4 linked regions of the Elephas maximus indicus genome follow. The main gene of each other region encodes a partner of the protein of the gene in region 2 in a complex. Links are inferred from orthologs where the notes say so. Each region holds a gene or a part of one and is shown on either strand. Other genes may lie near its edges. The genes, in order: C5AR1, GNAI1, XCR1 and PTAFR.

Evidence for each region.
Region 1: the proteins of GNAI1 (region 2) and C5AR1 are in contact, whole or in part, in a cryo-EM structure (PDB 8HK5), measured with the Homo sapiens proteins. The link is inferred for Elephas maximus indicus from reciprocal best matches to the Homo sapiens genes GNAI1 and C5AR1. Residues at the interface, in NP_002060.4 of Homo sapiens: Arg24, Ala31, Arg32, Glu33, Val34, Lys192, Asp193, Leu194, His195, Lys314, Glu318, Tyr320, Phe336, Thr340, Asp341, Ile343, Ile344, Lys345, Asn347, Leu348, Lys349, Asp350, Cys351, Gly352, Leu353, Phe354; in NP_001727.2 of Homo sapiens: Asn71, Arg134, Leu137, Val138, Pro141, Ile142, Cys144, Gln145, Asn146, Phe147, Arg148, Ala150, Thr229, Arg232, Arg233, Ala234, Thr235, Arg236, Ser237, Lys239, Thr240, Val243, Val244, Ala303, Gln305.
Region 3: the proteins of GNAI1 (region 2) and XCR1 are in contact, whole or in part, in a cryo-EM structure (PDB 9AST), measured with the Homo sapiens proteins. The link is inferred for Elephas maximus indicus from reciprocal best matches to the Homo sapiens genes GNAI1 and XCR1. Residues at the interface, in NP_002060.4 of Homo sapiens: Glu28, Ala31, Arg32, Leu194, Asp315, Phe336, Thr340, Asp341, Ile343, Ile344, Lys345, Asn347, Leu348, Lys349, Asp350, Cys351, Gly352, Leu353, Phe354; in NP_001019815.1 of Homo sapiens: Glu63, Thr66, Arg127, Ser130, Val131, Pro134, Leu135, Leu138, Val140, Arg146, Tyr205, Leu212, Ser215, Ser217, Lys218, Arg219, Arg222, Thr223, Leu226, Ile227, Val290, Gly291, Val292, Lys293, Phe294.
Region 4: the proteins of GNAI1 (region 2) and PTAFR are in contact, whole or in part, in a cryo-EM structure (PDB 8XYD), measured with the Homo sapiens proteins. The link is inferred for Elephas maximus indicus from reciprocal best matches to the Homo sapiens genes GNAI1 and PTAFR. Residues at the interface, in NP_002060.4 of Homo sapiens: Arg32, Asp193, Leu194, Glu318, Ile319, Tyr320, Phe336, Thr340, Asp341, Ile343, Ile344, Lys345, Asn347, Leu348, Lys349, Asp350, Cys351, Gly352, Leu353, Phe354; in NP_000943.1 of Homo sapiens: Ile52, Arg115, Ala118, Val119, Pro122, Ile123, Thr125, Ala126, Gln127, Ala128, Arg222, Asn223, Val226, Arg229, Ala230, Met233, Val234, Thr297, Lys298, Arg301.

Annotation. Positions count from the first base shown.
Region 1 is NC_064829.1:101,635,198-101,642,690, forward strand, and holds the start of C5AR1 (C5a anaphylatoxin chemotactic receptor 1), read right to left. Parts: upstream 3,090-7,493; 5' UTR 3,073-3,089; coding exon 2,869-3,072; intron 1-2,868.
Region 2 is NC_064826.1:49,915,974-49,923,409, forward strand, and holds the start of GNAI1 (guanine nucleotide-binding protein G(i) subunit alpha-1), read left to right. Parts: upstream 1-4,367; 5' UTR 4,368-4,459; intron 4,460-4,619; exon of another isoform or gene 4,620-4,685; intron 4,686-4,776; exon of another isoform or gene 4,777-5,046; 5' UTR 5,047-5,093; coding exon 5,094-5,211; intron 5,212-7,436. UniProt on the Homo sapiens protein: Guanine nucleotide-binding proteins (G proteins) function as transducers downstream of G protein-coupled receptors (GPCRs) in numerous signaling cascades.
Region 3 is NC_064838.1:50,384,584-50,391,580, reverse strand, and holds the start of XCR1 (chemokine XC receptor 1), read left to right. Parts: upstream 1-3,908; 5' UTR 3,909-3,925; intron 3,926-4,411; exon of another isoform or gene 4,412-4,535; intron 4,536-6,997. UniProt on the Homo sapiens protein: Receptor for chemokines SCYC1 and SCYC2. Subsequently transduces a signal by increasing the intracellular calcium ions level. Receptor for XCL1/Lymphotactin.
Region 4 is NC_064821.1:68,600,412-68,608,375, forward strand, and holds the start of PTAFR (platelet-activating factor receptor), read right to left. Parts: upstream 3,108-7,964; 5' UTR 2,850-3,107; intron 1-2,849. UniProt on the Homo sapiens protein: Receptor for platelet activating factor, a chemotactic phospholipid mediator that possesses potent inflammatory, smooth-muscle contractile and hypotensive activity.

The sequences.
Region 1 (7,493 bases), on a different chromosome or scaffold from region 2:
ACATGAACCACAGCCTCCCAGCTTCAGCCCAGGACAACTAGATGGTACCTGGCTACCACCATCGACCGCTCTGACAGGGATCATAATAGAGGGTCCCAGACAGAGCGGGAGAAAAATGTAGGAAAAAATTCAAATTCACAAAAAAAACAGCAGACTTACTGGTCTGACAGAGACTGGAGGAACCCCTGAGACTATGACCCCCGAACACCTCGCTAACTCAGAACTGAAGCCACTCCCAGAATCCACCTTTCAGCCAAAGATTAGACAGCCCTATGAAAAAAACAGGAGGGAGCCCTGGTGGCACAGTGGTTAAGAGCTTTGCTGCTAACCAAAAGGTCTGCGGTTCAAATCCACCAGCTGCTCCTTGGAAACCCAGTGGGGCAGTTCTACTTTTTTGTACAGGGTCACTATGAGTCAGAATCAACTTGATGGCAACAGGTTTGGTTTTGGGGTGGGGGGGATGAAACAAACAATAACACATGTGAGGAATGTGCTTCTTAGTTCAATCAAGTATACATAAGACCAACTAGGTAACACCTGCCCAAAAGCAAAGACGAGAAGGTAGGAAGGGGCAGGAAAACTGGTTGAATGGACACGGGGAAACTGGGGTGTAAAGGGAAAGGGGGAAAGTGCTGACACATTGCAACCAGTGTCATAAAACAATTTGCTTATAAACTTTTGAATGAGAAACTAATTTGCACTGTAAACTTTCACCTAAAGCACAATAAAATTTAAGAAGAAATAAAGACTAAGAAAAAAACTGAGGCAGGATGACAGGCTTATTGAAATGTTCAGAAAGCATCTCTGACTTCTTCAAGAAAGCTATTACCATGAAAAAAACAAAAACAAAAAAAGGAGCCCCTGGGTGGTGCAAATTGGCTGCTAGATGAAAGGTTGGCGGTTCGTGTCCACCTCAGAAGAAAGACCTGGTGACCTGCTTCTGAAAAATCAGCCATTGAAAACCCTATGGAGCATGGATCTACTCTGACACACATGGGGTTGCCATGAATAAGAATTAACTTGACAGTAACTGGTCTGAACTGGAAGCAGTAAAAAACGTAAACACATTTAAAATATGCGGTGAAAAAGACAAGCTTCCAGGTATTTTGAGGATGCAATGAATGAACTGCCTCTCAGGTTGGCAAAAGTAAAAAAAAATGCGATAAAACTGTGGGTGAGGGCATAGGGAAACAGGCACTCTCAGGCACTATAGGTGGGAAATATAAATTGATACAATGTTGGTAATCTGTTAAAATAAAAATTGCACATGTCCTGGATTCAGTGTTTGCAATTCTGGAAGCTCAAAGGTAAGTCCAAAGATATAAGTACAGGAATACTCATTGCCGTTTTAGTTTTAAAGCTCATATATTAGAAACAACCTAATTCTCCATTGATAGGATCAACCACCAACTGGTACCCATGTGTTATGGATTGAATTTTGTCCCCCCAAAATGTGTGCCATATTCGCTAGGCCATGATTCCCAGTATTGTGTGGTTATGCGCCATCTTGTGATCTGTTGTGATTTTCCTGTGTGTTGTAAATCCTACCTCTATGATGTTAATGAGGCAGGATTAGAGGCAGTTATGTTAATAAGGCAAGACTCAATCAACAGGATTAGGTTGTATGTTGTGTGAATCTCTTTTGAGATATAAAAGAGAATATAACAGAGAGGAGGGGGACCTCCTACCACCAAGAATGAAGAACCAGAAGGGGAGCACATCCTTTGGACCTATATCCCTGTGCTGAGAGGCTCCTAGACTAGGAAGATCGATGACAAGGACCTTTCCCCAGAGCCCGACAGAGAAAGCCTTCCTCTGGAGCTGAAGCCCTGAGTTCAGACTTCTAGCCTCCCAGACTGTGATAGAAGAAATTTCTCTTTGTTAAAGCCATCTAGTTGTGGTATTTCTATTATAGCAGCACTAGATAACTAAGACACTGTGTTTACATCTGAAGGAAACGACAAGGGGTCTGAGGCTCAGGGGTGGTCAGGGAGAGTGAATTTTCACTGAATCCCCTTCGGTGTTTTGGAATATTTTACAGAAAGGACGAAAAGAAGAAGCAGCAGCAGCTAGTAAGTTGCCCTATTCTGAAAGTCCTGTTTGCCCAAGTTGGATGTTAAAGGTGGGATGAGGAGAGTGAAGCAACATCAAACCCCTCCCATGTCCATCCAACTTGTTTTCCGTTTCCCCTTTTGGCCAGATGAAGCAATACCTGAGAGAGACTCCAAGTGCTAACCCACAGCCCTGCCCAGCTTGGTCCCCAGACCTCAGGATGCAGATGTGTAAGGGGGGCCCTCGCTGCACCGGGGGACAGCATCCCTCTGAGACTCACAGGATCCAAGGAACGTATCAGTTCTGCCACCAACCACTGTGAAGGACCCAGGCCATTTCTGCCCTGGCCTGGGCTTCAGTTTCCCCATCTCCACTATTGAGAATATATGAAATTCCACGGGAGTAACATCTTCATGCCTCCAAGCTGGCTGTCTCCAGCCTCCCAACATTCGCCCCTTCTGTTCCAGCTGCCTGGAACTCCTTTCTGAAATTCTTCTCTTGTGGAATTCTTAGTCATTTTTACAAGACCCAACTCAAGGGTTTGCTTCCCTGGGAAATGTTCTTGGACCTCCAGCCCTGTGGGGTTGCTGTGGCTCCCATTGTCCCTTGACAGCCTTAATCCTTAAACTTCATCCCAGCCCTGGAGTCCGAGACTCTGAGATGAGGAAGAAGGGAGAAGAGGAGTGATTGAGGAGGGGGATAGGGAGGAAAGAAAAGGAGAAACACGAGAATGAAAATGCTGGAGAGAAAAAAGGAGCCGAGAAATGAGGGAACAAAGGTAGAGAGTTCCTATGTCCAAGCTCCTTCTGAACTTACCATGTTCTGGTCTTCTGGGCTCTTCGCTGAGGGAAGGTTCCTCTTGCCCACAAGGGCTGTGGTTTTTAAACCCCCAAGGGAGGGTGCGGAGAGCCGGGGAGGAAATGACCATCTTTCCTTTCTGGGGTTCTGATTGGTCTGTGCACTGGACACTCTGCTGGGCCCCCTTTCTGGGGCACACACACACCCAGGGACTCCGAACATCTCCCCCCAGTCAGAGGAGGGAGGACAGGGCGTGGAATACTGAGGAAGTCCCTGGTATGAGAGAGGAGAAAGCCAGCTGGAAGAGCCCCCTGGCCCCCACCCCAATCTGGGTTCAGCCCCTTTCTGTGCCTTGGCTACCCCATTTTAGAGCTCTCTCTTCCCTTTGCACCACAGCCCAGGGACCCAGCTACCTTAGACTCCCACGGGGGCCTCGGGAAGCAGGGTTTGTGGCCCCTGCCTCCCAGCCAGGTTGCTCTGAAGTGCAGAGAAGCCAAGCAGGTCTGAGGAGGTGGCCCAGTGCTTGGGCACATTTTGCTGTTAAATCTTCTTTCCTAGGGTTTTGAAAAGGAACCCTAATTGCACAATGGCTAAGCTCTTGGCTACTAACCAAAAGGCTCCACAGGAGAAAGGCCTGGCAATCTGCTCCCATAAAGGTTTCAGCCTAGGAAACCCTATGGGCCAGTCCTATTCTGTCACATGGAATGGCCCTGTGTCAGAAACAACTCGACAGCACCCAACAACACAACAGAGTTTTGAAAGGAGTCCCCAGGTGGTGCAAGCAGCTAATTCGCTCAGCTGTTGACCAAAAAGTTGGCAATCTGAGCCTACCTAAAGGCACCTCGTAAGAAAGGCCTGGCAACATGCTCCCAAAAAGTAACAGCCTTAAAAACCCTATGGCGCACACAGTTCTACTCTGCACACAGAGGTCAACGTACGTCGGCAGCAACTAGTTAGGGTTCTAAAGTTGGTAGGAGAAGCCACCCCCTGAGCCACAATTGTCTGACTTGGAAATGGGACCTGTGTCTTGTCTGTTTCAGCCTCTTTCTGGTTCTCTGGGAGATGTGCTGGAGCCAGGATAGAATAAGGATCCTGTATTAGTTTCCTACAGATGCCATAGCAAAATACCACAAACCTGGTGGCTTAAAACAATGCAGATTTATTCTCTCACGGTTCTGAAAGCCAGAAGACCAAAATCCAGGTGTCAGCAGGGCTGTGCTCCCTCTGAAGGCTGTCAGGGAGAATCCACCTTTACCTCCTCCAGCTTCACGTAGCACCAGGCATTCCTTGATTTGTGTGTCTCTGCCTCTGCCTTCACGTAAAACCAAAACCAAACCCACTGCTGTCGAGTCGATTCTGACTCATAGTGTCCCTACAGGATGGAGTAGAACTGCCCCATAGAGTTTCCAGCCCTGTAATCTTTACAGAAGCAGACTGCCACATCTTTCTTCTGCAAAGTAGCTGGTGGGTTCAAACTGCCTGTCTTTCGGTTAGCAGTCAAGCACTTAACCACTGCACCACCAAGGCTGGAGCCAAAATCCAGGCGTTGAGTTTCCTCCTGGAGGAGGGCTTCTAGAACTGCCTTCCTTGGCTCATGGCCCCTTCCTCCATCTTCAAAGCCAGTAGCCTAGCATCTTGCTTCCGTCCTCACATTGCGTTCTTCTTCTGTGTCACATTTGCCTCTTATAAGGAGCCTTGTGATTGCGTAGGAGGGCTTTGCTTCCTCTAAAGCCCCTAAGGGAGAACGCTTCCTTGCCTCTTCCACTTTCGGGTGGCTCCAGGCGTTCCTTGACTTCTGGCCCCATCACTCCTATCTCTGCCTCTGTCTTCACAAAAAACCAAAACCAGCCCATTTCTGTCACATCGATTCCAGTTCATAGCGACCCTGTAGGACAGAGTAGAGCTGCCCCATAGGGTTTCCAACCAGAATGACATATCTTTCTCCCCCCAAGCAGCTGGTGGGTTTGAACCGCTGACCTTTCGGTCAACAGCAGAGCACTTTAATCACTGCACCGCCAGGGCGCCTACGCAATCACAAGGATCCTTATAAGAGGGAAGCAGAGGCAGATTTGACACGAAGAAGAACGCAATGTGAGGTCTGAAGCAAGACTCTAGGCTACTGGCTTTGAAGATGGAGGAAGGCGCCATGAGCCGAGGAAGGCAGTTCTAGCAGCTCTCCTCCATGAGGAACACAACACCTTGAATTTGGTCCCAGCCAGAATTAGCCAGCACAGTGGTTAAGCGCTCAGCTGCTAACAGAATGACTTGCAGTTCAAACCCACCAGCCGCTTCACAGGAGAAAGATGTGGTGGTCTGCTTCCATAAGGATTTACAGCTTGAGAGACCCTGTGGGGCAGTTCTATTCTATTCTATACAGTCGCTATGAGTCGGAATCAACTCCACAGCAGTGGGTTTTTGGTTTTTTGTGATTGCATTTGGGGATCACCTAGATAATCCAGGGTCATCTCACCATCCCAAGATCCTTTACTCCATCACATCCGCAAAGACCCATTTGCCACGTGAGGTAATATATTTGTAGGTTCTGGGGACTCGGACTGGACGTCACGGAGGCCATTATTCAGCCAATCACAATGAATGACGATGCTGACTGAAGATTGCAAACCAGGTGCATTTTACACACGCTGTTTTGCAATCCTATGATCTATCATCCACCTCCTTCCTCCACAGTAAATATTTTTCTATGACAGGCAGTGGTGGTTCGGTGGTAGAATTCTCATCTTCAATGGGGGAGACCTAGGTTCAATTCCCAGCCAATGCGCCTCATGAGCCAACACACGCCTGCCAGTGGAGGCTTGCATGTTGCTGTGATGTTGAACCAGTTTCGAAAGAGCTTCCAGACTAAGACAGACTAGGAAGAAAGACCTGGCGATCTACTTCCAAAAGTCAGCCAGTGAAACCCTACGAATCACAACAGTCCAATCTGCAACCCATCAGGGGTATGGCACAGGGCGGGGCAGCATCTTGTCCCACTGCGCACGGGGTCGCCGTGAATCAGGGGCAGCTAACAACAACAACCAAGTATTTCTCTAGGGCGACTTCGATTTTTAAAAATTGAAAAGAATGGTGGTGAGATAACATGGGTAGAGATGTCGAGAACGTTGACGCAATGTGATGAATGTAACCAACGTTATTGAATTGTACCTGTGGAAATTGCCAAATGGGTATATGTCCCGCTGTGTATATTTTCACCAAAATTTAAAAAGAAAAAAATAGTTTTCTTTTCATTACAGAGGTAATCCATGCTCATTGCAAACATTCCAACAATCCGGAAATAACTACTCCCCCCCAAAAAATTAAGCTTTGAAAGTCCCCTATCTGCCACCCTGTTGAAACTCTTCCTAGCAGTTTGGAATGTATCGCCCAGACTTCTACAAATGTGGTATTTGTGTTTGGGGATGGGCACATGGGTGTATGCTATTCAGCAAGTTTTGGTTCCATTGAACGAAGCCGTGTGTACAGTCCGCTGTTGTGTGCCATCGAGTCGATTCCAACTCATAGCAACCCTATAGGACAGAGTACAATTGCCCCATAGGTTTTCCTAGACCATAATCTTTATTGGGGCAGATTGCCTGGGCTTTTCTTCCAAAGAGCAGCTGGTGGGTTCGAACCACCAACCTTTTGCTTTGCAGCTGAGTGCTTAACCATTGCACTACCAGGGCACCTAATGTACAATCTGCTGACTCAGAAAGGATTTTGAAGTGGATTTACAGAGATTGAGGGTGCACCCTAGGAATATGGTGTTGTGTTGAACCTGACCTCAAGGAGGCGCTTGAGGGGGAAGTGGGGAGGAGACGCAGGAGGCCAGGTGACACCCACTTTACTTTTATGATTTTGGATCCAAGTTATATATCCCCTTAAATCATGAGTTAAGATTTTCTATGCTCTGGGCCCCTGGTGAAGCTCTGGACCTCTTCTCAGAATGCTTTTTTTTGGATAATTTTTTTCTTTTAATGTAATTTCAAACTTAAAAAGAAGTTACGAGAATAGCAAAGGCAATTTCTGTATGCCCTCCACCCAGACTGACTCTTGGTTAGTAATTGTTCTATGTGCTTTAGCATGTTTGCGCTATTTATGTATGTGGGGTACCTATCTGTATATCCGTATCTATGGTGGCAAAGGAAACCCTGGTGGCCTAGTGGTTAAGAGCTATGGTTATTAACCAAAAGGTTGGCAGTTCGAATCCACCAGCCACTCCTTAGAAACCCTGTGGGCAGTTCTACCCTGTAGGGTCGCTATGAGTCAGAATCGACTCCACAGCAGTGGGTTTTTTGGTTTGTTGCCATCCAGTAGATTCCGACTCATAGCGACCCCTTGTGTGTCAGAGTAGAACTGCTTCATAGGGTTTTCTTGGCTGCAATCCTAACTGAAACAGATTGCCAGGCCTTTCTGGAGGATGGCATGTTGCTATGATGCTTAACAGGTTTCAGCGGAGCTTCCAGACTAAGACTAGGAAGAAAGATCTGACAATCTACTTCCAAAAATCAGCCAATGAAAACCCTATGGATCACAATGGTCCTGTTGTGCATACGATCCCCACGAGTTGCTGACTTGACTGCAGCTAACAACTACAAATATCTATTATCTATCTATACATTTTTTTCCTGAATCATTTACGAGTAAGT
Region 2 (7,436 bases):
GGAGAGAAATTAGCACATGACATCTGTTGAGGGACAGAGAAAAATGTACAGTTTGTGGATGGAAGGTCTCTGCAGTCTTGAAGAATTGATGGTGATAAGAGAGGGGGCTGGAAAGATTAGAATGGAGGTCAGAGTACGGGGTAGTCATGTTCTTTCCATTGTTCCATAACAATCTCCTTTTCTCCACCTGCATAATACTTGAGAAGAGTCATGGCTAAAATGCAACTATGGCAAATTCCCCCCAAAAATCCTGCTCTCCGTCTACTATCCCGTGTATCTCTCACTCTCCGCAATTAAAACTACTGAGTCTCTTCATTCAGCTTCTGCATTCTCAGTGTTTACACACTCCTTCATTCTACATGGTAAAGCTTCTGTTCACAACAATAGATCAAAGTGCTTTGGTGCATTTGCCAACAATCTCTTCCTGTTGAAATTAAAGACTCACAGGAACTTAGAATTGTTGGGATCGTGCAGATGATCTAATTCAATGCCTACATTTTTCTAGATAGGGATAGTGTAATTAAGGGACATTTAAAGACATGTAATAGACACAGTTTAGAATTGCTCTAAATTCTCCAGTTTACCTACTTACAGCTTCTTTCACCATACCACTATTGCCAATGTTCTTTTTCTTCATACTTGTCCCTGTTGATCTTTTTCTAATGCATTTGAAATCATAAATAGCCATTTTTTTCTTAAACTTCTCCCTCCTTCACTTACGTGCTTATAATTCTTAGTGTCTCCTAGCTTCATCGACATATAAATTAGGCTCACATTTCTATTCATCTCCGATGATTTTAAGATGTATCTGCTTCAGTAGGAAATTAAGCCTTCTAGAAGTATTTTCCAGGTATTTCTACTAGTCCACCAAGGTGGCTTCATATTCACACGAGCACAAACAAGTCTGTTGTCTAAAGTCACTGCCTAATGTCCTTCTGTTTTCCTCTTTTCCAGTGTTCCCTTTTGTCATTGCCACTGGCAATGAAGTTACTTGAGGGAGACTGAGCACTGCCCATAGTGCAGTGCCCATCAGGAGGATGTGACTATCCATGCCCAAAGTACTGTCTTTAGATGGCTTTTAGTGCCTCGGTGCTCAGGTGCCTGAGTCGTGGTACGCTCCACGTAGAGACGATGACCTCCATATCATCTCTGAGCCAGATGTTGCACCCTGTGTATCTGAAGAGCCCTTCTTGTCTCACGAAGTATCTTAGTAGTAATTCTATGAGCTTTTGTTTTTTGACCTTTGCCCAGAATCTCACAGCATGGCTAATGCAAATAGTTTGGGTTTGGTATCTTTATATCTCTAACAGTGTAACAGCACAGATGCCCCTCTATCCTTCCAATTATCCCTAATCTTTCCCCAATCCAAACTCTTCCCTTCTCATTTAGAAAGCAAAAAACTCAAAGCAAACAATAGAGAAGTGTACACATAGCACAACTGCTCCTAATTTAACCAGCCAAAGATGTACTATACACTGCTCTTTTGATCGATGTATGTTTATAGGTCCAGATATAGATATCTATGTCAAAGTCCTAACTCTCTTATATGGTTCCAGTTTATCCCCACACTAATCCACTGACACACCAAGTCAGCATATCTCAAATCCACTCTTCTTACGTTCTTTGGCTTCATTTTGTCAGATGCTAGGACATGCAAGGAAAAGGTTGGAGGCTAGAAGGAGTTTCTGAGTTCTAATCTCAGTTGACACTAATCCCATTTGTCTTCTGAATAACATAGAATCTCAAGGTTGGAAGGGATCTTAAAAGTTATCTCATCTAGCTTTAGACTGTGCCCGGTAAGATATCATACAACCTAAATTTGTACATACTAGTCAAGGATGTTACAAATGTCTCCTTTCAGATGAATTGTACACTGTTCTTCCTTACATCAAGGTAAAATTTGTTTGCTGTAGCTTCTTTCTACTACTTCTAAATCTACCACTTTGGAGACAGAAAGAAAATGTTTATTCCCTCTGATTCATGACATCCCATCAGTTACTTGAAAACAGCTATCATGTCACTTTGTAGCTTCTCTTTCCTACATTACATATTTTCAACTTCTTCAATTATTCCTTATGACAGAGTTCAGAGTTACTTTAAAACCTAGATGTTCTCTGCTGAATGTGTTCCAGTTAGTCTCTTGGCATATGTCTCTGACTCTCTTAATATATGATGCTCAGTATTATTCAGTAATGAAAAGAAATATTGATATATGCTACAACATAGATAAATCCTGAAAACATCATAAGTAAAAGAAGCCAGTCACAAGTGATTACATATTGCATTATTCCATTTCTATGAAATTCCAGAATAGGCAAATCTAGAGACAGAAAGCATAATGGTGTTTGCCTAGGACTGGGGGAGAGGGGTGTAAAATGGGGGCCTGGGGAGTGACAACTAAGGAATGCAGCATTTCTTTTTGGGGTGACAAAGATGTTCTGACATTGATTGTGGCGATGCTTCAACAATTCTGTGAATATACTAAAAGTCACTGAATTGCGTACTTTAAGAGTAAATTATATGGTATGTGAATTATATCTCAATAAAGCTATTTAAAAAAGAAACGTGATGCTTAGAAAGGAAATCAGTACTCTGAAACAAAGTGTTTTCACCTCTAAATCTCAGCTTCACTCTCTCTAAAATGGATGAGTTAATAAACTCTTTACCTTGTTGATAAAGTTGTTGAATCATATTTTGCTACCTCATAATTATGTAAGTTATTAATTAGTTTGAGTGACTTTCATCACCTCATATCTGGATTACTAACACAGTCCACTTGTTGGTAACCCATTTTTTTACACATAGTGGCAAGAGTTTTTTTGAAGCACCTATTCCCCAACTCACTAAGAAGAATATAAGGAACACTTAGTACCCATTGTATCAAGTCCAATTCTTCACCTTTGTATTTAAAGCTCTTTTCCAACTTTGTTCTATACTTCCTACCATTCTTCACAGCCCAGCTAAATTTTAGTTATAAAACACTTGTTCTCTCCTATAGACACTTTGCATATTAACCCTTTTAGCTGGTTATTACTCTCAAACAAAATATACCCCTTGAAACTCCCCACCAATCCCAGTCATCATATCCTTCAAAAGTTCTTTCAAAACTTTCTTCTCTTGGAATTTGCCCTCAGACTGATCACTCTATTACCTGTATCCTCTCAGAAGTTTATATACAGCTAATTTGAAGTTCTTATTCTTTCATTATTATCCTTTAACTCCTAAACTACTTGACAAGATTATCAAATGAGAGAGGTAATGTTTATGATTCTGTTATACCTTCTTTTCTCCAAAACACTTTCTGTAGTCATTTCCACCAGTACTCCGCCATGATTGCTTCATCTTTTGCTGCAACTTTTTGTTAGTCATATGCTCTATCTGGTCCGAAGCTTGCAGGAAAAAAGAATCACAGTAACAGATAATCCAAAATGACTAATACACAAACACTATATCGAAAGTTAACTTCCTTAAGCTTAATTTCAGAGTTACTCATGAACATCAACATTTAGAGTGCCAAGAAATACAAAAAGGTAACTCAAGGCTAATTTTTACAGATGAATTTCAGAAAATAAGACTTCCAGATAGATATCAATTTCTAAGTTTTAGTACATCAATGAAGAAATTTGACTACCAGCCCCATCTTCTAATCAGTCAGCCTTTCCTGTGGTGTGTGTAAGACAAAGATGGAGTGCAACAATGGCAGTTGGGATCACCAGCCTGACAGGGAGAGATCAGGCAGTGAACTTAAGCAATTATATTAGGCACTAGATACTGGGTGAAATGTCTGTCCAGCCCCAAGAGCTCATCTTGCCCAAACCAGTTAGAGCTGGAAGAATGGGGCCATCAAGTACATCAACCCTTCACCATTTTATGAGTGAGGAAGCTAAGGTCTGTTAACAGGAGTGCCATGCCCAATGGCACAGGAGTTATTAACAGGGTCATAAATACTGGTTCAAAATTTGACAAGGAAGTTCACAAGCTGCTCCAGAGGAGGTCTGTTACGGTGTGGAGCAGATTTGTTTGTGTGGGTGTGTTTTATTGCTCTGGTCATTTTTTATACATGCTTTGATTCTTTGTCTCTCATCTTCTCAGATTATGAGGAAATCCTTCAAAATGTTGTTTGTGAAAAAGAAAAGTGATAATGGGTGGAAGAAAAAAGGACATTACAAAGGACGGGAAACTGAAGAAAAGGAGAAAGTTACTGACCCGTTTTCTCCCCGACTTTTCCTGCTCCCCACTGTCCCCATCTCTGGTTCCACCGCGGCTCCGTTCCCTTCCCAGCTGCCTGTTTCCCACGGCCCAGAACGCCACCCGACAGGGGTTCTACATTTTGAAAACCCTTGCGTGGGTGCGGAGCTGGGCATGCTCAAAAGCTCAGGACTGGCTTTGCTCGGCTCTCAACTTTGGCAGCTCTCCCACCGCCACACCGAAAGCGGCAGGTCCGCACAGATCCCTCGGTGTGAGTAAACGGGAAGAAATTATCGCACTCCCTCGGAGGGAGGCGGGTGGCAGAACGCGAGGACCCAGCCTCACCGGGCAGTTCCGCGCTCCTGTGGGCGCTTCCAGGGCGCGGGCTCGGGGGGTGGGGGGTGCCCGGATCTCGGGGACTGCTCGGCGCCGGGGAGCGGCCGGGCACGTCGGGAACGCGGGGGCGCGCCCCTCCGAGGGAGCTCTGTCCGAGGCAGGTGCGCGGGAGCGCGCTCTGGGAGTGGTCCCAGGCTGGCGGGAGGGGCGGGCAGGGGCGGGGCCGCGGCGGCGCGCGGACGCCGAGCTCCGCGGGGCTTGGAGAGGCTGCGGCGCGGCCAGCGGCGGGAGGGTGGCAGCTGCTGCATCTGGAGGCTCCAGATCCCGGGCTTCTGGGCGCTGAGGGGCGCCAGGAGCGGAGCCTGGCCTTGAGGAAAGGCTTTGAAGAGGCCGCCTGCTTCCTTGCAGACACCTTTTTCCTAGATTCCGTTGACGAAGTGGGTGGGGGTGGTGTGGCCCACGTCGGGAGGTATTTGAACTGCCGCATCCAGAAAGAAAGAATTTCCCCGTGTTTGGAGACAGCACATCGGACGTGGAGGGAGCGGCGGTAACCTCTCGCTCTTGGCACAATGGGCTGTACGCTGAGCGCCGAGGACAAGGCGGCGGTGGAGAGGAGTAAGATGATCGACCGGAACCTCCGCGAGGATGGCGAGAAGGCGGCGCGCGAGGTCAAGCTGCTGCTGCTCGGTAAGGGCGGCCAGGCCGGACGCCGGGGTGGGGAGGACGGCCTGGGGGTCCCAGGGGCCGAGGGGGAGCAGGCCGGTGGGCTGGGCGCGGCGCGCCGGGCTGGCTGCTGCCGGGGCTCGGCGTCTTCGAACCCGAAGGGAATGTGTCGAAGCGGCCGATGGCGCGTCTTGTAGCGCCCGAGGGTGGTTTCGGAGAGGGAGGCTGTCCAGGGCGGTGCAGCGCCCAGGGGTGCCCTCCTGTCCCCCGGTCGTCTGCCTCCCATCGCCGTGGAGGGCGAGAACTCGGCCGCGGTGGGGCAGGAGCCTCACTTCATCCGAAGCTTTCGTGTGGCCCCTGCAGGTAGCCAGGGAGCGATTTTAAAGCGGCAGATGGCGCGGAAACCCTTTTCTTTGAAGTTAGCTCAGCCTTGTAAAGATGAGCATTCATGGCAAGAAAATAAGAGTCTCCCTCCCCCGGAGACCTTTCATACCCGGTGTTGTGTCGCGGTTGTGGTTTCACTAGTCCAGAGTGGCACTTTGCGTGAAATCAGTGAACCTTTTGTGGGGCCTTTGGGGTTGAAATGTGTCTTTCCTGTCAACTTCCGATGGCGATTCAGTAAGTGTTACAGGAACACTGATTGTATTTACCTTGCGGAAGGAAATAGGCTGCTCTACGTGCTTTATTTTTCCTACTCCGGGGGCATGGAAACCACCAAAGTTGGGTTACGTTCGCTCCAGTCGTGGATCAGACGGATAAATGAGTGAGGAAAACTGATGTGAAAGGTGCGAAAGGGTCACGCCGACAACAGGATTCTCTCTCCGGCCGCCACGGTTTCTGATAAATGAGGTTTGCCAGGTACAAGCCAGGATTTTGTTTAGTCTTAGTCCTCATAATGAAACGTTACGTGGAGGACTTTTTCCATTGCTAATGGGGGAGAAAATAAAAAAAGAGTAAACCAGGGTTTTGACTCAGGGATATGTTAGGAAGATATTCACAGTTTAAGATGTTTAGTTTTATGAGTTAGGGTTTTCTTTTGTTTCCTTGACTCCCTTGCCCCCACCCCCACCCCACTCTAAGTAGAGACAGGTTTCTCAGAATCTTCATTTGCACTTCCAGCGATTGCTTATATATATATAGACATACATACAGTTATAATAAAAGAGAAATATTGCAGAAACCTGTTTTCAGCAAGCGTCTGTGTCACTGGTTTAATGACTGCAGAAAAAAATGGTGGGTTTTTTTCCCCCATCACTAGCAAGCTTAGAAGCAGCGAACCTGGCATGACTAAAAGTAACTATGATCTGAGTCATTCTGAAAGTAAACTGAAATAACTTTGCATTTCAAAGACCTGAATGTCTTTACCTCCTCCCCACAACATAAACCTTCCTCAATTTATACTGTTTACCTGAGGTTTTGCATTAATACCAAAAAACCAAACCCCGTGCCGTCGAGTCGATTCTGACTCATAGCGACTCTATAGGACAGGGTGGAACTGCACCATAGTTTCCAAGCAGCATCTGGCAGATTCGAACTGCCGACCCTTTGGTTAGCAGCCGTACCACTTAACCACTACGCCACCAGGGTTTCCTTACATTGATAAGAAATACTATATTTTTGACCAGGTCAGTATATTTGCAGTGTACTGAGCACAGAAGAGACACAATTTGCTAAAGAAACACTTCGACTTTTGTGAATTGCATGAGCTTGAGAGTAAAAATAAGACAGGATTAAAAAGTTCCTTTGTTTAGTTTTTGCCCTCCTGCTCTGGTATTATTTTTGTATATTTCATCGTATCTTAGCTTGAGCCAGCCATCCACCATGTTTAAGACAATTGCAAAATGATTCCTCTGGTGGTGGTGGTTTATGCTTTAATGAGATGTCTGTTAGAAAGGGATAGAGTTTATTTTTACTTATATTCAGAATAGACTAGTGTTTCTCAACCTTAGCACTATTGATACTTTGGGCCAGATAATTCTGTGTTGTGAGGGCTCTTCTTACATCATGCAATATTTAGCAGCATCTTTGGCCTCTTATGATTTGGATGCCAGAAGTCTCCCCCTCAGGTTGTGACAACCAAAACTATATCCAGACATTGCCAAACGTTTCCTGGAGGCAAAATCAACCCTGGTTGAGAACATCTGGTCTGCATTAACAAATATAGTTGAGTGTGTGATGTAGAACCAAAAGTTTCATCTCTGCAGCATTCTATAGTTAGAGTCATGGGGAATATGTAGCAAAGTCATGAT
Region 3 (6,997 bases), on a different chromosome or scaffold from region 2:
GTCTAAGTATTTTCCTTTCCCCAATACACAGTGACCCAGGTAAACGGTTCTAGATCCCTTTGGGGAAGGCTTGGAGAAAGATTAACAGTATAAAATTAACCAGTATAAAATTTTGGCAGTGGACCAGGGTTCTTCCTCAAGGGGATCTTGCCTCTCCTTCATTCAAGGGGTTCTGGGTCTGTAAACTGTTTTAAGTCTAGGAGGGGCCACGACTCTCTGTTTTGATGAAAGTTAGTCTTCTGTTCACTCAACCTAAAATTCTTCTGATTCTACACACCAAGTAAGAATTTAATAGACTGTTTCTTTTCTAGGGACACATGATCATCTAGCCAGTGCCACAGGTCTCCGCAAGTCAAACTATTCTGGTTACTTCTTTGACCTTACTGTTCATTACGGTAACCACATCCACCTTGTCTTTGGTGATTAAGTGCCACCACTTGGCTCCTGACACCCTTGGATCTAATTATGTATTCCTATTGCATTTACAGATGTCACCTCAGTGGCAGCGGTTTTCATTGTAATCTCTGACCTACAGAAAAGAGCAACTACAGAGATCCTCAAGGATGTTGGGCTTCCCCTTATAAATTTATTTCTCATAGTAGTGGTGAAAGGTATGGACCTTCCTTGGGAGAATGAGCAGATCTTGCATGAAAAATCCACTCAATTATTTCTCTCTCCCTAAGATTTTGGACAGTTCCCTCTGCAGTATACCAAGGCTGTTCTGACATTTCAACTTTATTTAGTGTAGCCTGCCTTTTGGTCCATGTTTCAGCCAACTGAACAAAGAACAATTAGAGTCCTTTCTAACTCCTCAAGCTAAAAAGCTGAATCCAGAATCTGTACTTAGAAAGCCTATAGCAATAAATTTGGCCCGATCTAACTTTACTTACCTTCTACGCTTATCCTATACCCTTAGTGTCTATTCCCACATATATTACCTAGATTTCTGTCTATACAAATTGGAAAAATAATGTTTTTTTTATGTGTGGTGAACCTCCTTATGAGTCATACTTTGTACTTCATCCTTTGGGAACTGGTGGGACTTGAGTCCTTTCAGGTCTAGAAGCAAAGAAGGATGGTGGAGGTAGGTCCTGAAGAGAATCAGCAGCACCTTGCAAGGCAAATACCTCAGGGGAGGCCATTAAAGATTCTTTAGGTTAAGCAGGGTCAGTTTCCTCAGACAGGAGTGAAGGGCTGCTTATACTGGCAAAGAAGACTCAGCAAAATTTAGAGGTTTCTTGTCCCCAGCTTCACTAAGATCTTCCCCTATTTCCTCATTCCAATTTTTAGAATCCAATTCCTTCCCGATCAATGGCCTCAATTTAACAGAAGACACCCTGTGAGGTTGGGGATTCAGTTTGCATTGTAATTCAGCCCCTCACAGAATGAGAGTCTTTGAGTTTGAATTTCAGAAATCTCAGCCCTGCAGCTAAAGGAAATAAAGGTTTCTTTCACAACAGACATGGACGCTTTCAGGTCATTTATGTGGCACTTGAACTGAGAGTTGGAAGCCCTAAGCTCAGCCTCTATTTCCTCACTTTGTCTAGGACAGTTAGGAGCAACCAGTCAAACCATTATTTCCTTAGTTTGACTAAAATGTTCTAAATTACCAAATACATGGTGGCCTAGAAACTTGCCTTTTGTAAGTATTTGATTAGAAGTATCCAATGACAATATTTTGTGTATCTCTATAGCCACATTATGCCATGAACTACCAGGGCCCTCTTTACCACAGGAAATAGTCATTAGTTCCTTTAAATCTAATAAATTTAGAGAACTAACTTCTGCAATCCCTCCAGAAACACAGTATTGGTTTTGGTTTGCTATTTTCCAGAAAACCCACAGCCAATTCAGAAAATTCATCAAGATTATGTTCCTACAGAGAAACATTTATTGCAAGGAATTGGCTATGTGATTATAGGGGCTAAGGAGACAAGTCCAAAATCTGCAGGCTATCAGGAAGGGCAAACTGGAAACTCTCAGGCAAGAGTTGATGCTGCAGTCAGGCAGAATTTCTTCTTCCTCATGGAGTTCTGCTCTTGAGGCCTTTAATTGATTGGGTCAGGCCCACCTGGATTATCAAAGATAATCTCCTTTATATGAAGTCAACTGATTGTAGATGTTAATTACATCTACAACACCCATTTTAGTGACTGATTGAATAACTGGATGCTAAAAAACCAAACCAAACCAGTTGCCATCAAGTTGATTCAGACTCATGGCAACCTCACGTGTTTCAAGTAGAACTGCACTCCATAGGGTTTTCAATGGCTGTGATCTTTCAGAAGTAGATTTCCAGGCCTTTCTTCTGTGATGCCTCTGGGTAGATTTGAACTGCCAAGCGCTTAGCCATTTGTACTACCCAGGGTCTCCTAACTGGATACTATTGCTGTTGTTATTAGCTGCTGTTCAGTCAGCCCCAGATTCATGGCAATCCCACATACAACAGGAAGGGACCATTGTGATCCATAGCGTTTCCATTGGCTGATTTTCAGAAATAGAGCACCAGGTCTTTCTTACTAATCTTCTTAGTGTGGAAGCTGCACTGAAATCTGGTTATCATTGCAGCAGTACGTTGGCAGGGAACTGCCAGAAACTCAAGCCGGATTCAGAAGAGGATGTGGGATGAGGAATACCATTGCTGATGTCAGATGGATCTTGGCTGAAAGCAGAAAATAACAGAAAGATGTTTACCTGTGTTTTATTGACTATGAAAGGCTTTCAACTATGTGGATCATAACAAATTATGGGTAACATTGTGAAGAATGGGAATCCCAGAACATTTAATTGTGCTCACGAGGAACCTGTACAGAGACCAAGAGGCAGTCATTCGAACAGAACACGGGAATACTGCTGGCAAGAATGTAAAATGGTGCAACCACTATGGACAACAGCTTGGCAATTCTTCAAAAATGTAAGCATCTAGTTACCACACAATGAAGTGATTCCACTCCTACATACATATCCAAGACAAACGAAAACATGTTAACATAAAAGCTTGTACATGAATGTTCATAGCAGCATTATTCATAATAGCCAAAAAGTAGAAACAACCCAAGTGCCCATCAACTGATGAATGGATAAACAAAATGTGGCACTATATGTCCATATAATGAAATATTATTCAGCCATAAAAAGGAATAAAGTGATGACACATGCCACAACATGAATGACCCTTCAAAACATTATGTTAAGCAAAAGAAGCCAGACATAAAAGCCCACATAGTGTATGATTCCATTTGTATGAAAATGGTTAGGTGTTTCTCTTTCTTTGAGCATGAGAAGAATAGGCAAAACCATAGAGACAGGAAGTAGATTAGTGGTTGCCGGGGAGTGGGGGAGGGCAAGCGGAATTTACTGCTAATAGGTATAAGGTTCTTCTTGAGGTGATGGAAATATTCTGGAATTGGATAGTGATGACGGCTGTGCAACACTATTAATATTCTAAAAACCACTGAATTGTATACCATGAAATTATTAAAACGGTGAAATTTACCTCAGTTTTTAAAAAATAATAATAGCCATGCATAACTAGTTCGTTAAGCAAATCAAACTTTTGGTAAAATCAAAATGCAACTTTTTGTTGTTGTTGTTGTATCCTGCCCTTTAGAATCTCTTCCAAATCCCAAATTACCTGCATTTATGCTTGGTGGGACGCAGGGGGCCCAAATGACCCTTGAGTTGTAGACCCTACACGCCTGTGGAGAGAGTCTGGGTGACCAGCTAATTTCTGTGTGAGCAGTGATGCAGCCAGATTCTAACATGAGATGTTGGGTGGGAGTAGAGAGGTTGGGGGTGGATCAAGCCAGCAAGCCACTGGGTGATGGGAAGAGGAGGAAGTAGTGAAGACTTTCCCAGATTTGGGGGAGGAGAAAGAGAAGCACCATTTCTGCTTCAAGACGCATGTGAAGAGGTGTAGATTCAGGTGAGTTCCTTTGCTTACATTTTCCTCTGCTTTTAAAAGCCTCTACCAGGAGTTTGTTTACCAGGAGTTCTTAAACTTTGGTGGGCATCAGAACTACCTGGATAGCTAGGAAAATAAGATTTCTAGGCCCCACTTCCAAAGGTGCTGATTCAGTAGATCTGGGGTGGGGGTCCAAGAAGCTGCGTTTCTGACAAGCTCCAAGTGGTCTGATGCGGCTGGTCTGTGAACCACACTTCCGGTAGAAGTAACCTATAGAATGTTCGTTTGTTTTTTCCTTTTTTACCACTGAAGAAGTGGAGGGATTACTTGGTTACAGACCTTTGTGTAGGCCTTGGTATTATTAACTATTGTATGATTTAGAAGAGTGTCTCTCAGTCCAAATTACATTGTGAGTCAGAAAGCTAAATTCACTCCCTGAGAGTTGAGGTGGGCCGTGGAGTTGGGGAAGAAGAGAATGACAGGAAAAAGGGAGCCAAATCCCTGGTATGTAACTCAGAGATGTCTGGAGTTGAGTGCCATCCTTCTTTGTATCCTCAGGGCCTTTCCAGGCCCAAAACTTGAATGTCTCTGAAATTTTGAGTAAATTATTGAGTAAGAAACAGAAAACTGGGTAAGTTTTTGTAGATGTCCCATATTCCTTTTATTTCTGGTTTTCTGAGAGTTTATATCATGAACAGGTATTGAACTTTACCATGCTTTTTTTGCATTTATTGAAAAGGTCACTGGTTTTCCTTTTATTCCATTAATACGGTGATTTAAATTTATGTTTGACTATTAAACCAACCTCACATTTCAGGAATAAACACACTTGGTTGTGATTTATTATTCTGTTTATATATATTGATGGATTTAATTTTAAAGATTTTGTGTCTGTGTTGGTAAGGATTATTGGTCTGTAGTTTTCTTTTATTTCAATGTTTTTGTCTGATTTTGGTAACAGGATTTTGCTGGCCTCATAAAACAAGTTGGAAGGCAATCTATTCTCTATTTCAGAAATAGTTTGTAGACTTGGTATTATTTTCTCATTAAATATTTGACAGAATTCACTAGAAAAGTCATCATCAGGCTCTGGAGTTTTCTTTGTGGAAAGGTTTGCTACAGTTAGTTTCTATGATAATTATAAGACTATTCAGATTTTTGTGTCATCTCATGTCAATTTTAGTAGGTTAAATTTTTAAAGAAATTTGTTCATTTCACTTAAGTTGTTGAATTTGTTAACATAAAATTGAACATACTATTTGTCATTCTTTTAATGTCCATAAGATCTGCAGTAATAACCCTTCTTTCATACATATTGGCAACTTGTACTTTTCTCTTTTTGTTTTCAATCTGTCAATCCAACTAGCTAGCTAGGGCTTTAGCTTTTTCTTTCTTTTTTTTAATTTCCAAGGGACCAATTTTATTGTTGTTCATATTCTATCTTGTTCATTCCCTATTTTGTTAATTTCTGCTTTTATCTTTATTATTTCCTTCCTTCTACTTACCTTGAGTTTAATTTGCTTTTGCTTTTCTAGCTTTTTCTGGGTCGTTGATTTTAGAAATTTCTTCATTCTAATGTAAACATTTAAAGCTACAGACTTCTCTCTATGCACTGCTTTAGTTAAAAAAAAAAAAAATTTTTTAACTGCTTTAGTTACAGTCCACTAATTCTGATACGTTGTATTTTCATTATTGCTCAGTTCAATACGTTTTATCATTTCCCCTGTGATTTCTTCTTTGACTCATAAAGCCTTTCAGAGTATGTTGTTTTATGTCCGAATTACTAGGAATTTTTTAGATATCTTAATTGTTATTGATTTCTAATTCCATTTTGGTCAGAGAACATAGTCTATGTAATTTTGATCTTCTTAAATTTATTAAGACTTCTTTTATAATCCAGAATATGGTCTATCCCTTGTGGATATTCCATTTGTATTTGAAAAGGACACATACTCTGCAGTTTTCAGGAGTGATGTCGGTTACATGAAGTTGGTCCATGGTTTTGTCCAGATCTTCTATGACTTTATGGGTTTTTTTTTTGTCCAGTTGTTTTATCAACTACTCAGAAAGGGTGTTAAAATCTCTAGCTATGATTCTGGATGTGTCCATTTCTCCCTTTAATTTTGCTAGTTGTTGCTTCATGTATTTTGAATCTCTGTTACTAGGTACATATAGATTTATGGTTGTTATGTCTCCTTGATGAATTGACTCCTATAATGACCCTCTTTAATTCGAGTTCTCAGGTAATATGTTTTCCATCCATTTACTTTCAAACTATCTGTGTCTTTATGTTTAAAATATGTCTCCTGTAGACAGCATATAGTTGGGTCTTACTTTCTTTTACCATTCTGACAATCTTTGTCTTTCAGTATCATTTAATGTAATTATTGACATGATTGGATTCAGATCTACTGTTTTACTACCCGCTATGTTTGTCTTCTTTTGATTTTTGTACCTGTTTCTCCTTTCCTGCCTTCTTTTCAACTATTTGAATTGAATTCCATTTTAATTATCCATTGACTTTTTAGCTATACTTTTTTGCATTATTTTTCAGTCACTGATCCAGATTATAATAAAATCTTAACCTTTTTATAGTTAACTTGGAGTAAATATTGTATTGCTTCACATAAAATGTAGAAATTGTACAACCATATTAGTCTATTTAACCACCCCCAATCCTTTACGTTATAGTTGTCACGTGTATTATATTTATGTGTTATAAATCCCATAATACAATTTTATAATTTTTGCTTTAAAATATCTAGATATTTTAAAGAAATTTAAAATAACAATATTTTCTATTTATTTCCTTTTTTACATTTCCAGTGCTCTTTTGTCCTTCCTAAAGATTTGAGTTTCCATCTGGTATTATTTCTCTTCAGTTGAACTTCTATGAGCCCTTCTTACAGTGCACCTCTAAAAAAACCAAAAACTAAACCTGTTGCCATCAAGTTGATTCCGACTCATAGTGACTCTATAGGACAGAGTAGAACTTCCCCATACGGTTTCCAAGGCTGTAATCTTTACAAAAGCAGACTTCCACATCTTTCTCCTGTGGAGCAGCTGGTGGGTTCAAACCACTGATCTTTCAGT
Region 4 (7,964 bases), on a different chromosome or scaffold from region 2:
CCAGAAAATGTTTTATTGAATGAACAAATAAGTAAACAAATCAGTCATACAGGAACCCAGTCACATCTCCCCTTCTGGAAAAAGCATCCAGAGGTGGCTGGAGAGAAAGCCGAGGAATTAGGTTCAGGAGACCTAGACCCTGGCCTCAGCCGTGTCACCCACCCACCCATCCGCAGTCCTGAGTGAGTCTTTTCCCAGATGGGAGCCTTGGGATTTGTACCAGCAAAATAGGATGCCCCACCCACCTGAAAGCATTGATTGTTGTGAGAAGGAAATGAGATTCCTGGGGCTGACAAAGGCTTTGGTAAACAGTAAAGCACTTGGTAAACTGAAAAGCCCTGTATCAACTGTAAAGGGTCCTGCACAAAGTTTTTTGCTTTTTTTTTTTAATTGTGGTAAAAACAAAAAAACAAAGTTTGCCATTTTAACCATTTTTAAGTGTACAATGCAATGATGTTAATTAATATTCACTGTGTTGTGCTACCAGCACTACTATCATTTCCAAAGGTTTTACATCACCTCAAACAGAACTCAGTACCCTTCAGCAATAACTCCCATTCCCTCCTTCTCCCCCCAGCCCCTGGTGACCACTTCATACACTTTTGTCTCTATGCATTTGCCGGTTTCAGATATTTCATATAACTGGGATCATACACCATCTGCACCCCCAGCTAGGTGAGCTCAACTCCAAACCCAGACCCTGAGCGGCCCCCTCCTGCTGAAGAGGGTGGGAAAGGGCTGCTGAGTGGTAGTCCTCTTCCCCACCACAGACATTCACACACACACACACACACACACACACACACACTGGAGCCTGAGCACACACATTTATGCACAGGCTTCTTTTTGATTCCTCTTGGCTGAAGGCACCAGGGAAGAAAGGAACAGAGGAGCCACCAGCATATCAGCCTCTCAGCTGGTTTTGTTAGTGACACTGCTGCTGGGAACTGTTGGGCTGTACCAGGGCCCACCTGCAAGTGGCACATACTCCTGGCCTGCCCTCCAGACACTTGTGGGTATAGCAAAAGGCAATTCCCCAATCCACACACACAGACACACACATGCAAGATATATGCACACACAAAAAAAGGTTCCTCTCCCCTCCCACCATGCTGCCAAGGAACCCCATGGTGGCTGGTCAGAGAGGTGGCAGGGCTCGGGGCTCAGCATTTTCCCTCCTGGGAACTGGCTCCCCCAGTCCAACACCCTCTCACAGGCCCAGTCACAGAGCACTCTCAGGCTATAGCTCGGCTGTCATTCCCTCCTGGGCCTGGGCCTCCACCCAGTGGGGGGCTCTAGGTAAGACAGAGGACCAAAATAGGGAAACTGAGGCTGCCATTGGAAAAAAGGTGAACCCCCATGTCCCCATCAGGGCCTTGTTCACAGGCCCTTCAAGTCTCCCCAGAAAAAGGACAAACAGGCTGTGTCCCAGTCTTTCACAACAACCGCCTCTCCCCTTCCCACTTTCACTCCAATACAGATCAGGAGAGAAAGCTCAGTCCTGGGTGTGCATTTTGTCATTAATGCCATAGACTATGAACATCATATCTAAACCCTGAGTTGGACGGATGTGGAAACTGAGGCCTGAGGTGACAACAGTATCACGGGCAGAGCTGAGACCAGAAGAGGGACCTCTGGCTCACTATCCATTCCTTTCTGACTACAACAAATGACTTTATCATTCATTAAGTCAATGCGTATTTACTAAGCATCTACTATGTATCAAACTCTGTGCTAAAGGTAAGGATAGAACACCGAACAAAGCAAATTCCTCATCCTAAAGGTGTTTACAGTAACAATTACAGTGTCAGGAATTCTAGTAATGCATTGGCTCATATCATGCAGCATGTTACAACTGACAAAGCACTTTCACACTTGGCCTCAAACTTCATCCTCCCCACAAACCCACAAGGTCAGTATTATAAACACCAATCTTCAAAGGAGGAAACTGGGGGTCTCGGATTGCCCAAAGTCTCAGCTTGCCAGCAAACACTGAAATCAAAACCCTGGGTGCCCACCTCGGGCCCAGGACCATTTCTGCAGCCCCGGAGCTGACTTCTTTCCCAGGCTGGGCTGTTAGTACCTAAAGGGAAGGACTAGGCTTTTCCTTTTGCTTCTCTAGCACCTCCCCCACCTCCAAACACACACATTCATGCCAAGCACCTGGCGCACAGCTGTGTATTCAGTCAGAGCTACATCAGAGCAGCCCAAATGCTTACAGAATGCCCTCCCTCCCCTACTGATGCCGTCATTCCACACAGGCGAGCAAGTGCCTGGGCAGGAACCCTGCTCACCAAAGCTAGCGAGGGACAGGGAGGTAACAGCCTGGGCCCTGTCCCTATCGCCTAGGACCTGATGGGGCAATGGTTGTGGGCCTGGCCTTTTGTACCAATATCCTCATTATCTTCATCATCTCCCAGGAAAACCTAGCATTTAGTGAGCTCCCAAGTACCCAGACCTCTGCTAGACCCTCTATCCTCCTGACAATCCTGCCAGGGAGACATCATTCTCATTAGACAACTGAGGAAACCGAGGCTCAGAGAGGGGTGAAACTTGGCCAGGGTCACACATCCAATAAAGTAGATGGCATTCAGCTCCCTGAGAGCTAGGAAGCCACCTCTCATCACCACAGCACCTCCAGTGAGGTCACCTCAGCACTGTCTTGGCTGACCTCAGACAACCAGAAAGGGGAGCTAAGTCCCCTGGAAAGTTTGGCCAGAAGAAATTCTTTTTAAACATGAGGCTCTGGGCCTGAAGAAGGTACCAGAATAGTCCCTTAAAAACAGAAGCACCCATTTGATTAAGTGCAGCCTCCCCCCTTTACCCAGCCAGGGCTGGGGCCCCCTTACCTGTACCCAGGGCAGCGGCCACAGTTGACTGCAGGGTCTGAGTGTCTCCGTCTGGGCCGCGGCCCCAGCCTCACCCTCTGTGCTGACTGGAAATTGCAGAAGTGAGAAAACAGAGCACACCCCTGCCAAGTCACCCCCGGGAGGAAATGCCGTGACCCTAGGGCCCCCAACGGATGTCACAGAAACATCCAAGCTGGGCCACCCGGGCCCTGGGTACTGCTTAGAAGCTTCTAACAGAGCAGGGGCAGTGCGCTGTGGGCAACAACCACAGTGCTAGGGAGCTGGGTCAGAGAGAGAAAGCGTGAGAGTGCACTCCAGAGAGAGAGAGAAATTGAGCATGAGAGTGAAGAAGAGGAGGGAGGAGAAATGAGTGATCCAGAAAATAGAATGAGGAGGGAGGAGGGAGAGGAGTTAGGGGAAAATGAGAGAGGGCGGAGGAAGAGATGGAGGGAGAAAGGAACACAGAGAAAGACAGACAAATGTAAACATGGAGCGAGAGCATGACAGGAATGAAGACGCTACAAGGACAAAGGTCAAGAGAGTTAAAAGAGAAAAAGATGAGACGGAAAAAGATGGGACCCAGACAGTGAGTCTGTGCCTCTGTGTGTGTGTCTGTGCCTCTGTGTGTGTGTCTGTGCCTCTGTGTGTGTGGGGGGGGGGCGGTCAGAGAGAAAATAAAAGACAGGGAAAAGGTGAAAAGAGAGAGCGAACTAGAATATAAAAAGGATTAGAAGGGAGGGGTGCAGGGTTGCTACTGTGACCAGCGAGAGGCATGAATGGTGTGGGCATCCCTGGTGACCAGGAAGCACAGAGCCCAAAGAACCCATGGGGACAGAGTTTCTGCAGAAGTGGAGGAGGGAAACTTCATAAGACACTGAGCCAGAGTTTGGCAGCATGTGGATTAGTGGGCATGAGGATGAACAGGTGTGGGCAATTGAGGGTGAACACAGGTAAGCATGTATGTATGAGCTTGGTGGGGGCTTCATGTGTATGTAAGTGAGGGATGGCACAGAGCTCCCTGCCTCAGCCTCCAGTCCATTTGTTCACTCATTCTTTCAGCCTGCATTTACTGAGCACCCCCAGCGCCTCCAGGTACCATGAACTGTCTGAGGAAGCAAGACCCTCCCTCATATATTAGCCAATTTAACCCTCTCCAACACAGAGAAGGAAACTAAGGTTCAAACAGAGTGCCAGAGAAAGTCAGATGCTACACAGCCATGAGTGATGGGTCCATCCTCAGCTCCACCTGAGGGTTTGGGCTAGCCTCCTCCTGCTGAAGGGACCCCATGGCTGCTCCTTATCAAAGCCAAAAATAGCTTTCAAAGGATAAACCACCTTTAACATAGGCCTCGGCCCTTAAGACCTACAGCCAAAATCTTCCCCTCCCCCCTGAACCCACCCACCACATAGAGGCAGACACACTCAAACCACGTACACATAACCCTTGCACACTCACAGGTACTCCATAGAAACTATCACATTAAGACATCCACTCACAATTATGTTCTTCACTCGCACGTCAGCTCAGCCACTCAGGTGCCCACACATACTCCCCTTCTTACGCTTACTGCCCAGACTCACTTACTCCCTCATGCTCATTTAACCAACACAAGCACTCTCCTCAAATCTCCTGACGTGGCCCAAGCCTCCTGTTAGGAACTTTGAAACAGACCCAGTGTGATCATCCTTCCTTATCTCCCTTAGAGGCCCTTGGAGCCTTGAGTGCCCTGAAGCGCAAGAGAAAACATCTGTTCATTGCTTTTAACCCTCAAGTAAATTGTCCCCCTGAAAGCCAAATCCCCAGCTCCCCAACCCAGGCCCGTTTTCCCCAAACCTGCTTTACCTCCTCAGCTCTCCTCTAGCTACAAGACTCCAGGAGGACATCAAGCCTGGGAGGGGCTCCTGGGGTCCACCAGCCTTCCTATGGCCACTCCCAGGACACCCACCTAAAGGTCCAGGATTCCTGGGTACAGGGCTGTTTTTCCATAGTCCCTTACATGCGTACTTGTAGCAACTGCACAGCAATACCTCTTTTGAGATTATCAATAAGCAGGGTAGGATGCCAGATATTACTACCAACATTTTACAAACGGGGAAATTGAGGTTTCCCCAACTCCTTCTTTCTCTCATACTTCACATCCATTCTGTTAGCAAATTCTGTCAGTTCTACTTTAAAATATATCCAAACCTGAAGAATATGTTCAGGTAGCTAACAGATACATAAAGAAATGTTCACGATCATTAGCAACTAGAGAAATGCAGATCAAAACTAAAATGAGATTTCATCTCACTCCAACAAGGCTGGCATTAATCCAAAAAACACAAAATAATAAATGTTGGAGAGGCTGTGGAGAGATTGGAACACTTCTACACTGCTGGTGGGAATGTCAAATGGTACAACCACTTTGGAAATCAATTTCGTGCTTCCTTAAAAAGCTAGAAATAGAACTACCATACAACCCAGCAATCCCACTCCTCAGAATATATCCTAGAGAAATAACAGCCTTTACATGAACAGATATATGCACACCCATGTTTATTGCAGCACTGTTTACATTAGCAAAAAGATGAAAGCAACCAAGGTGCCCATCAACAGATGAATGGATAAATAAATTATGGCATATTCACACAATGGAATACTATGCATCAATAAAAAACAGTGATGAATCTGTGAAACATTTCATAAGATGGAGGAATCTGGAAGGCATTATGCTGAGTGAAATTAGTTGCAAAAGGACAAATATTGTATAAGACCAGTATTAGAACTTGAGAAATAGTTTAAACTGAGACGAAAACATTCTTTTGTGGTTACGAGAGGTGGGAGGGAGGAAGGGTGGGAGAGGGATATTCACTAATTAGATAGTAGATAAGAACTACTTTAGGTGACGGAAAGACAACACACAATACAGGCGAGGTCAACACAATACAGGCGAGGTCAGCACAACTGGACTAAACCAAAAGCAAAGCAGTTTCCTGAATAAACTGAATGCTTCGAAGGCCAGTATAGCAGGGGCAGGGGCTTGGGGACCATGGTTTCAGGGGACATCTAAGTCAATTGGCATAATAAAATCTATTAAGAAAACATTCTGCATCCCACTTTGAAGAGTGGTGTCTGGGGTTTTAAAAGCTAGCAAGCAGCCATCTAAGATGCATCAATTGGTCTCAACCCACCTGGACCAAAGGAGAATGAAGAACACCAAGGACACAAGGTAATTACGACCCCAAGAGACAGAAAGGGCCACATGAACCAGAGACTACATCATCCTGAGATCAGAAGAACTAGATGGTGCCCGGCTACAACCGATGACTGCCCTGACAGGGAACACAACAGAGAACCCCTGGGGAAGCAGGAGAGCAGTGGGATGCAGACCCCAAATTCTTGTAAAAAGACCAGACTTAATGGTCTGACTGAGACTAGAAGGACCCCGGTGGTCACGGCCCCCAGAGCTTCTGTTGGCCCAGGACAGGAACCATTCCCAAAGCCAACTCTTCAGACATGGATTGGACTGGACAATGGGTTGGAGAGGGATGCTGGTGAGGTGTGAGCTTCTTGGATCAGGTGGACGCTTGAGACTATGTCGGCATCTCCTGCCTGGAGGGTAGATGAGAGGGTAGAGGGGGTTAGAAGCTGGGGAGATGGACACGAAAAGAGAGAGTGGAGGAAGAGAGCGGGCTGCCTCATTAAAAAAAGGGGGAGAGTAATTGGGAGTATGTAGCAGGGTATATATAAGTTTTTGTGTGAGAGACTGACCTGATTTGTAAACTTTCACTTAAAGCATAATAAAAATTATTAAAAAGAAAAAAAGAAAACGAAACAAAATTATAAGAAGGGGAATGTAATTCCGGAGATCACCCTGAACAAGTTTCACCTGGTCACAATATTGGAAATACTTTTGATTTTCAGTTTTTAGGCCTAAACCATCATGGATGACTTAATTATACCTATAGAACAAACAGCAAATGTTTCAGTCTTGAAATGTAAAGGTATATATGATGGAAGGTTGAAGGGAGTCAAAAGTTCATAGTTGATGGAACAAGAAATAAAATAGTGATTAGTTTATTGCTCCTGGTTTCAAAGGTATATAGAGGAACTATTAAAAGTGTTGTAAGTGCATCGAGAAGATAGGAGTAAGCAGAGATGGAGGGCAGAATATCATTGAAAATTTGTTAGGTAAAGAAAGGAGGTAGTACAAATGATTTATGTGCTCAGCTGCTAACCAAAAGGTTGGAGGTTCAAGTTTACCCAGGGGTGCCTTGGAAGAAAGTCCTGGCCATCTACTTCTTTAAAATCAGCTATTGAAAACCCTATGGAGCACAGTTCTACTCTGATACACATGGAGTTTCCTTGAGTCAAAGTCAATGTGACAGCAGTTGGTTCATTAAGTAAAGAAATAACCATAAACAACGGAACAGCTAAAAGAGTTAGAAGAGATGATCTCTGGGGAACTGAACTGGGAATGAGAAGTTATGGGGCAGGAAATTATTGCTTGTAACTATACATATATGTTTCTTTTATGAAAATCATATGAAAAAGACCGGAAGGCTGTATACCAAGATACTTGTCCTGTCTGGAAAGGATAAGGAGAGGAAATGAGACTTTAATATTTTGTTCCATATTTTTAGGTATTGAGTCATTTTTAGTGAGAATGTGTCCATGTATTACTTACCCAGTTTTTCAAAAAGGTTTCATGACAATTTTAGACATTAAGAAGTTACTGTTAAAAAAAAAGTTCTCTTGGGACAGCTCATTCAACTGGCATCACAAAGTTTGTGTTCAACATCCTAGTGAGTAAGTATTATCAGAAGTCTTAAAAGCTTACAAGCAGCCATCTAAGATACAACTGTTGGTCTCTACTTGTTGGGAGCAAAAGAGAAAGAAGGAAACCAAAGTCTCAGAGAAGAAACTAGTCCATAGGGCTGATAGCCTACATGAGCCATGGCCTCATCTACCCTGAGGCCAGAAGAACCAGATGGTCAAATGGACACAGGGAACCTGGGATGGAAAGGGACAGTGTGCTGTCACATTGTGGGGACTGCAACTAATATCACAAAGCTATATGTGTATAAATTTTTGTATGAGAAATTAACTTCAGCTGTAAACTTTCACCTAAAGCA